2 linked regions of the Oryzias latipes genome follow. The protein of the gene in region 2 purifies or fractionates together with the protein of the main gene of each other region. This does not show direct contact. Links are inferred from orthologs where the notes say so. Each region holds a gene or a part of one and is shown on either strand. Other genes may lie near its edges.

What was found.
Region 1: the proteins of slf1 (region 2) and rad18 purify together in Homo sapiens (affinity purification with mass spectrometry; 4 studies listed by BioGRID and IntAct, with this or other methods). This does not show direct contact. The link is inferred for Oryzias latipes from reciprocal best matches to the Homo sapiens genes SLF1 and RAD18.

The regions. Positions count from the first base shown.
Region 1 is NC_019863.2:2,756,436-2,760,325, reverse strand, and holds the start of rad18 (E3 ubiquitin-protein ligase RAD18), read right to left. Parts: upstream 2,900-3,890; 5' UTR 2,787-2,899; coding exon 2,736-2,786; intron 1-2,735. UniProt on the Homo sapiens protein: E3 ubiquitin-protein ligase involved in postreplication repair of UV-damaged DNA. Postreplication repair functions in gap-filling of a daughter strand on replication of damaged DNA.
Region 2 is NC_019867.2:15,910,669-15,914,587, reverse strand, and holds the start of slf1 (SMC5-SMC6 complex localization factor protein 1), read right to left. Parts: upstream 3,059-3,919; 5' UTR 2,658-3,058; intron 1,509-2,657; 5' UTR 1,508-1,508; coding exon 1,400-1,507; intron 586-1,399; coding exon 507-585; intron 402-506; coding exon 176-401; intron 94-175; coding exon 1-93. UniProt on the Homo sapiens protein: Plays a role in the DNA damage response (DDR) pathway by regulating postreplication repair of UV-damaged DNA and genomic stability maintenance.

The sequences.
Region 1 (3,890 bases), on a different chromosome or scaffold from region 2:
GGTGTGAATATGCTGATGCAGTGTCCTTGATGTTCAAACTCCCTTCCTTAAGGCATCACAGCAGTCGGATAGTTTCAGCTAACAGCCAGACGCTCCTTGTGTATCACAAATTCTGTGCCTGCAGATCATTTTATCATGTTTTAAAATGTTTCAATGCTCAGATTGAAACGATATACTTAGGAGGAAGTCTGTCCCACTACTTAGTGATGGAAATGTCCAATCCATTAAGAGCTTAGAGAAAGGGAACATCCAACGTTTGATCACAAAATAAGGCAAAGTATTAACCAGCACCATAGAGTCTGAACTTTCAAAGATGCTCCATTTGTAAACCTTTCTAGTAACCTTGTAGCTCCTCTCCACACTCGCTGCAATTTAGAAGTTAGTATAAATGACCAGAAGGAGGCTTTTCAAAGACTTGGTTTGAACAAATCCTATATTTGTCAGTGAGTTGTTTGATCAACATGAAGTACTAGAGTTTTTTTTAATCATCAGTCCCCAGGCAGGTAACTCAAAGCCATAGTAAAACATGAAAGAGTACACTCTAAAACAGTAAATATGAGGTTTGGCTGAGTCCGTGTTGCAGGACTGCTTTGCTTGCAGACAGTCTTTGAGGTAAGTTCTCAGTCTTTTAAGTTAAAATGGTTGGCTAATACTTCCTATATAATGTGGATGTTCTGTAAAGAAATTTCACTTCATTTGCTCTGTCAGTGAATTCAGTCAATCCTTCAGAGACATCCCAAAAGTCCTCAATAATCGGATTCAAAACATATTCAGCAGTTGTGGTTGAACTACCAACCCCTAACTCGAGACTGTAAAATCAGTGAAAACATGTGCAGTTATAGTTATTTTCCTTATGTTTTAAAGAGCCAATATCTCTCGTTATTCAGGAAAACCAATTCAAAATTCCAAAGCAAGTTTTCCTGGAAGGTTTTCTTAAAAAATGATTGTGATCTGAGGTACATTTAACAGCAGCAGGCCTGAAATATCCCTGAAGCCTCTGTGACTTTGTGTCCAATTTTTAAGTGGCAATGAAAACTGGATTTCATTCTAGATTAAAAAGAAAAACAGGCTTTTATGTAGGATATGTAATGAGATATACTACTATATGTGGATAAATTATGGGCGGGAACCTCTAAGATAAAAATGACCATCCTTCTGGAAAAATATCAGTATATTTTCAAATAACAATCCCATTTTTTCCTAGCTTATTCATAAATTCAGGCTGCCTTTCCGAGCTTTTAAGAGTATTAAAATTATTGCATACACAACAATAATCTTTACAAACTCATACTAAATGCCACAATTTTAAAATACCAACAAATTGTTTTTTGCATGAGCTTTTTTAGGTCTTTCCTGAATAATTTATATCTCAACAGACTGTGTAACCCTCCTTTTCATATAATAGCATTTTTCCTTGCCTAGTTGTATCTTACTTGTACTGTATTAACCAAAAAGTTCAAACTGATGTCTAATACACAAATTATAATAGTTAAAATAATTAAGGGATATTTTATAACCATTCATTTTATTCTTTGGTAAGATTTTTTTATATCCTTAAGTAACAATGCAACAATAGTTGCTGTTCTGAAGGAAAGTGCTAATGATGTTTATCTGCAAAAGCTCAACAACCTTATATTTTTATACTGGATTCTAAACATCTGCATTCACTCAGTTATGAGGGTAACTGCCGTAAATTAAGAGAAAATGAGTCGTATCAACAGAAAATATCTTTGGCTTGCCTTATTTACATTTTCAATTCAAGCAACTAGGTTGCAGGAAGATGATCTGACTTGGCCGATGTACTTTTATTTTAAAAAACGTATTTGCTGCAGTCAAAAAACAGAAATTCTTCTTTTTTTAACACCATGATTCCACACAACACCTGGCCTGTCGTTAGTTTACTCAAACCGTAATGGTTACAAAAACAGAAATACTATAGGGTTGTAACGATTAATCCACCTTATTGATCTATAATTCTACAATCCAAACAGATGGATCTGTCTGAGACGAGTTCCTAATGGAATCAACCTATGCTGTCCTAAAACTGTTTCAAAATTAAATAAAACTCAGTACCAGGTATTTGTCTCTGAGTCACACTGACTGGTTGAAGTTTAGTTCTGGATCTATTAGGTCAGTGAATCGTTCAAAATGAACCAATAACAACTATGGATCAGATCAGCAACCACAAATTATGATATGAATTGAATCGTTCAAATAAATCATTACAGCCCTAATAAATACAAATACTAACAAAAGGTGGGCTGATGTTTTAAGGCTCCTGCTGGGTTTTGGCTGGAGAGAAGCACAAGCAGACTCAAAAACTGGATGACAACCCTCTTCTTCAAGTTCGCTCCATCCTCACCTCAAGCGCCAATCTCCAACATCCCGGGCAGGATCAAGCGGGTTTAAAAATTTGGATTACAGTGTACAAACTTTTGTAAAACAATATACGTACACAAATAAATAAGCCCTCTGTGTTTGCGTAATATGAATTGTTGTTGGCGTTACTGCATTAGAACCACAGTTGACCTTACTAACTACTATCAAGCACCGAAAAGTCTATTTTTCCTTGAATCTGCTGCTAAAATGACAGTGAATGAGTGGGTTTTTGAACCAGTGTTGTATAAACTTCGTTTATCCAACGGCAAGTCAATGCCTCTAGCTTGTTCTTGCAGCTAGTCAGCATCTAACAAACCCGGTTTATTTTAAGCACCACAACAGAAGCGATATCTTACTTTCAAACATGCAAGACTTGCTGGTAGATCCGCTTCGATGTGATGGGCCATACTTCAGAACTAACGTTCATTTGTCGAGTCTGTTTATGTTGAAATTAGCTAAAGGCGTTTGTTTCTACTCTGCAGTCCCGCTCTAAAGATCGACATTGACGTCACAGCGGAACTTCCGCGGTGCGTTCAGGGCCGTCCGGTTTCAGGTCTCGACATAAAAAAGAGTCGCATTGATCAGTATTTTATTAAACCCTTGTGCTATCTTAGATGACCCCACCCTTACATTGACGTGTTCTCCCTACCATGACAAAGGTGGATAAAGGTGGAAAGATTTCATGTAATCCATGGACACCAGTGAGGATCGAAAAAAGAAAAAAAGGTTTAGTGCACTGTCTAGTGGGTCCAGATGACCCAACTCCCAATGTTAAAGTGCTAAGGGTTAATTTCATTTATGAAGTTTAATTTTATCAAAAACACAAGTTTTACACACCATTTATAAAAATTAACCTTTTTTTTCAACCAAGTATCATTCTTAAAGTATGCTGGGGAAATAATCAACAGATCCCCCAACCCCCGTTACCTTAAAGACCCATTCCGATTAAAATCCTGTTTTTGGTGTTTTTAACGTGTTCTTGTGCCATTTTTTCTCATGGTGAGGGACATTTAGAGAAAACTAAGCTTAAAATTGCATTTCTGAGTGTTTCTTTATTCAAATCGGTGTGAATGAGGAGCAGACGGAAAAAAAGGTCACTTGTCTATAGCTGCGTTTACATGGGCAAAAGTAATCGGAAAGAACGCCTGATCGGAAGGAAAATGCGTCATGTAAACGCGCCGTTCGGAATAGTGTGCCCCAATCAGACTCGTTCGGATCAAAATTTCTCTTCGATCGAGATAGGTGGGTTAGGCCGATCGTTTATTCGATCGTTGATCATGTAAACGGTCATTCCGATCGTGTGTCACTACTGCTCTGGTTTACGTCATGCATAGATGGTGTTTTGCTGAGAGAAAGCTTAGGAGCTCATAGGGGACCGACCAGCTGCTCTGCGGACGCCCTGTGAAAAGCGCCACTCCACTCTAGCCCCGCTTTTTTTTTTGTGTTTCCAGTTGTGTCCCGACTAAATAAAGGCTGATGTTATTCCCACACATTTACGTGCAGCCAAGATG
Region 2 (3,919 bases):
TTATCCGTGACAGGTTTTGCCATGACATGAGTGATGGAGATGTAGGAGGGGGGAGGGTATTTGTACACCTCTGCCTTGCCTGCCATCAACAGCCTGTATGTGAATAACGAACAGCATTTTCATCATTTTGCTTTCTAATGTATTCACATGATAAGCCAGTTGAGACAGAAATCACCGTTTGAACATGGCTCTTTTGCGGGGCTCTTGAACCATAAGGAGTACTCTCCAGCCTTGGAAAGCCCCCGTCATTCTGCCAGTGGCCACCTTTTCCCTCCACTGCCTGACGGGGTAGAAGGCAGCTGAGGAGGCCGTGGAAATGGCCACTTCGTAGGATCGCTCCGGCAGCCAGGAGCCATTCTTAACACTATCCACAACATAGTCCAGTGTCACAACCCACTTTCCTGGTGGGAGAGAAGTGGGTGTTTTAATAAAAGGTGCTAGTTTGATCAAAAGCTAAAAAGAATAAATAAAAAATAAAATCAAGCATTACAATGATTATAACTCACCTGCAGCACATGCAGCCAGAAATTTCTCACTGGGGGAAACCTGGGGTGTTATGAGATGAGTGATGCCATTCTTGTATACCTGGAAACAAATGGCTGCATTAGAATTGAAAGTGATCGAATGAGAGGAAAACATGCGTAAATAATAGTAATATTTATTTGAGTCGAATTTAATTCGAAGCATAAAATCCAAAAATGTTTCCTTAACCTTATTTCAAACAATTCATGTGGAAAAAATACAAAACAACATGTTTTAATGTCAAAATAATTCTCCCAAACAATATCTAAATGAGGAATAAATACACAAATGAAGATACTGGTCAAGACACACTGGCTGTTTTTCTCATTTTTCTTGTTGTACACATTTGATCTGCATTCTCTTTCCATTAAAGTATACATTTCTACAAATAGTCCTTTGTAACTCTTTGGTATTAAGGCCTTTTTTGCATTATGATATGTTGTAAGTTTTTTTGGTCTGTCTTCCTCCTTTTTCCCTTATCCCAGTTGCAAATCTATTATTTTTTTCCTTAAAACAAATGTTCCTGTCCCTTCAGACCTCAACCAGTCACATCTTAAGTCTAGCTCTGCTGGACGTTTCTTCTTAATCTTTCACTTAGAGAGGTTTCCTCTCAGTATAAGTATGGGAAGAATGCAAAACTCTGATGAGTCACATATGCAGGAAATTTTAAATTCACTTTAGAGAATTTGGGTTTATTAGGAAGACGTGGCCTAAACTGGATTAAGATAACTCTAAATAACTCAGCTCACTTTGATGTTTATTGTCTTTTGAGTCGTACCTTTATTTATAAAGGACCACTTACCACTGTGTAAATTGGTACTTTGTAAATACACTGTGTAAATAAACTACATTGAGTTGAGCTGGAAACACTACTTACAGAGCCACCAATGTATTTTCCTCCCAGCTGTTGAATCCCTTTCACCAAAACTCTCTTCTTGTCACGGTTTTTTATGCCAGAGATCTGGAAAATCTTGCACCTTTCCATCCTGAAAGTAAATAAATAAATGAATAAGCCGAATATAGCCTAACGTATTTAAGATGTTATGACAGATAAACTGGTTTCGACCATTTGTTGGAAAACACTGTAAACTGCTTCTTGTTTGTCCACATGAGTTACACAGATAGGTTGACACTACAAGAAAAACCAGAAGGGGTACTTTGAACCAAGCATGCCACTATTATCACAGGTGTCAGTTAACTGTCATTGAGACAACTTCAATATATTTTCAAAATTATTTCTTTCAACATGTCGGGCAGCAGAATAGTCAATTTTTAAATATTTGCTTAAAAAAATTAGCAAAGAATGTAGCTTGAAAACTAAAACTAGTTCAATCCATTTTCTCCATGCAGGAAGTGGTATCTGAAATTCAGAAAGGAAATCATATTGTGTTATATACAGTAATACATATATTATGTGACTTCATAAACATTTTTACAGATGACTTCTCTGAACATTTATTTCTATTTATGCATCAATAGCATGAATGACATTTGACATTCAGACAAATTGTTTCTGCTCCAAGACTGGTACTGTCTTGAATTGAATTCTGTTGTACAGTATGTTTAAATACAATAAGTGTTGTTTTCAAGGAAAGTTGGAACATGAGAAAAAGGTTTAAGTAAAATAACAGTACGGACAGATACACTTGCAGGTTTACACCTGAAACTAAAGACACATTGACAAGTCTATGCACTTATTGGTATGTATGCAGTCAAAAATAAGTAAATAAATCTAATTCTACTGGTAGTTTCTAATTTAAAATACAAATAAAGCCCACAAAAAATCTGCTGTGGACACATTCAATCACTCTCATAAAATAGTGACATTCATCAGTGTTCTTTTTCCTGTGATTTAACAGCTAAAGAGAAATCAATTCCAATAGATTTTGTGAATATGTGATATAGTAAAACAGAATCTTAACCTGCTAGTAGTGCTAAACATGTCGACTGTACCATTTTCAAATGCTGAGGGTGTTTCGTCAAACTGACGTTTTTGGAATAGTCGAACATGTTCTTTAAAAAAAAACTTAGCTCTTCGGAGTCACTAAATTTACAGGATTATTGTAATTATTTTCTGGGTTATTTAGTATGAATTTGTTAACGAATTTGAAAAGGGTGGTTAAAGAGTGCTTTACCTTCCTCATTCCCAACTGATGATGACTTCTCATGTCATGGCGCGCCAAAAAAACTCAGCCACACAGGCGACAAGCTGTTAAAGCTGGATGTGGACAACTATGTCGTAGCGAAAATATCCAGCAATATGGTAAACTTCCGTAACAGAGATGCAAATAAAGTACTTAAAGATAATATTGGCTTAAGAACATTTCTATTTGAATCTTTCAACCACTACACCGCTTAAGCAGAGTCACAGCTTCACGGAAAAGCCAACTACTTAAGATGGGGGAAATTCGTCCTTACGATATTTTTTCGCACAACAAAAAACAATATTTACAGGAAGAAATTAAGAAAAAAATCAAATTTGAACACAAATTTTATATTCAACGTATAAGTAAACTAAATAAAACAAGGACATTGTCGTGTTTTTTTTTACTTCTTTCCCGACTGGTTTACTTTTAGTTGGTATTTCCCATGGAGCGGAAGTTTTCATCGAGCTACTTCCAGGTTGTTGCCACGGACGCTTTTTGTTCCCGGAACTAACCAAAATAAATCACTGACCGGATAACGGGAGTGTTTGTTCTTTTCTACCACTGAGACTGGTGTGGTGGGTGATTAATTCACGGGGAGGGATGCGGTTTCAATCACAATAACAGATTTTAGTCGAACAGCAACATATTGCAGAAGTTCTAGAAGTTGCTGTAACATTTTGTGCAGCTATATTTACTGCTGGCAGTGGCTGCGTACAAATATCCACTTAACACGACTGAAGATTCTTATGGATTAACAAGGCATGGAATAACAACTAGCGGGTAAGAAAAAAGGTAAGATCTGAAATTAAAAGCAGGGATTAGCGTGAACCGTGGTTTTGTCATTGAGCAGCCTAAACATAACTCGTGTTGTTTTCATTGGGGCTCATTAGTGACGTGTGCGCGTCTTCTGGTTAGGCGCAAGAGGTGTCACGTGGTCAAGCAGCCCTAGGTTGGACTGATTTACCGGAAAAAATCTGAACAATTCAATCAGTCCTCAATAACCAGTAATGTTGATTTGATTAGTGTATACCGGTCTAATTGGCTAATCGGCTACTGGAAGAAAACAAACTATTTCTATTTGTAATGTTTTGAGAAAAGGCCATTTTTGTGTTCAGTAATTTAGTCTCTATCTGTATTAATTCCAAATGTCTTGCTGCTTACATTTCTTGCTTCCATTACTTGAAATAGAGCCGTTTGCCAATGAGGTTGTAGATTATGAAACTGTACATCTGAGTAAAACATGACTCACT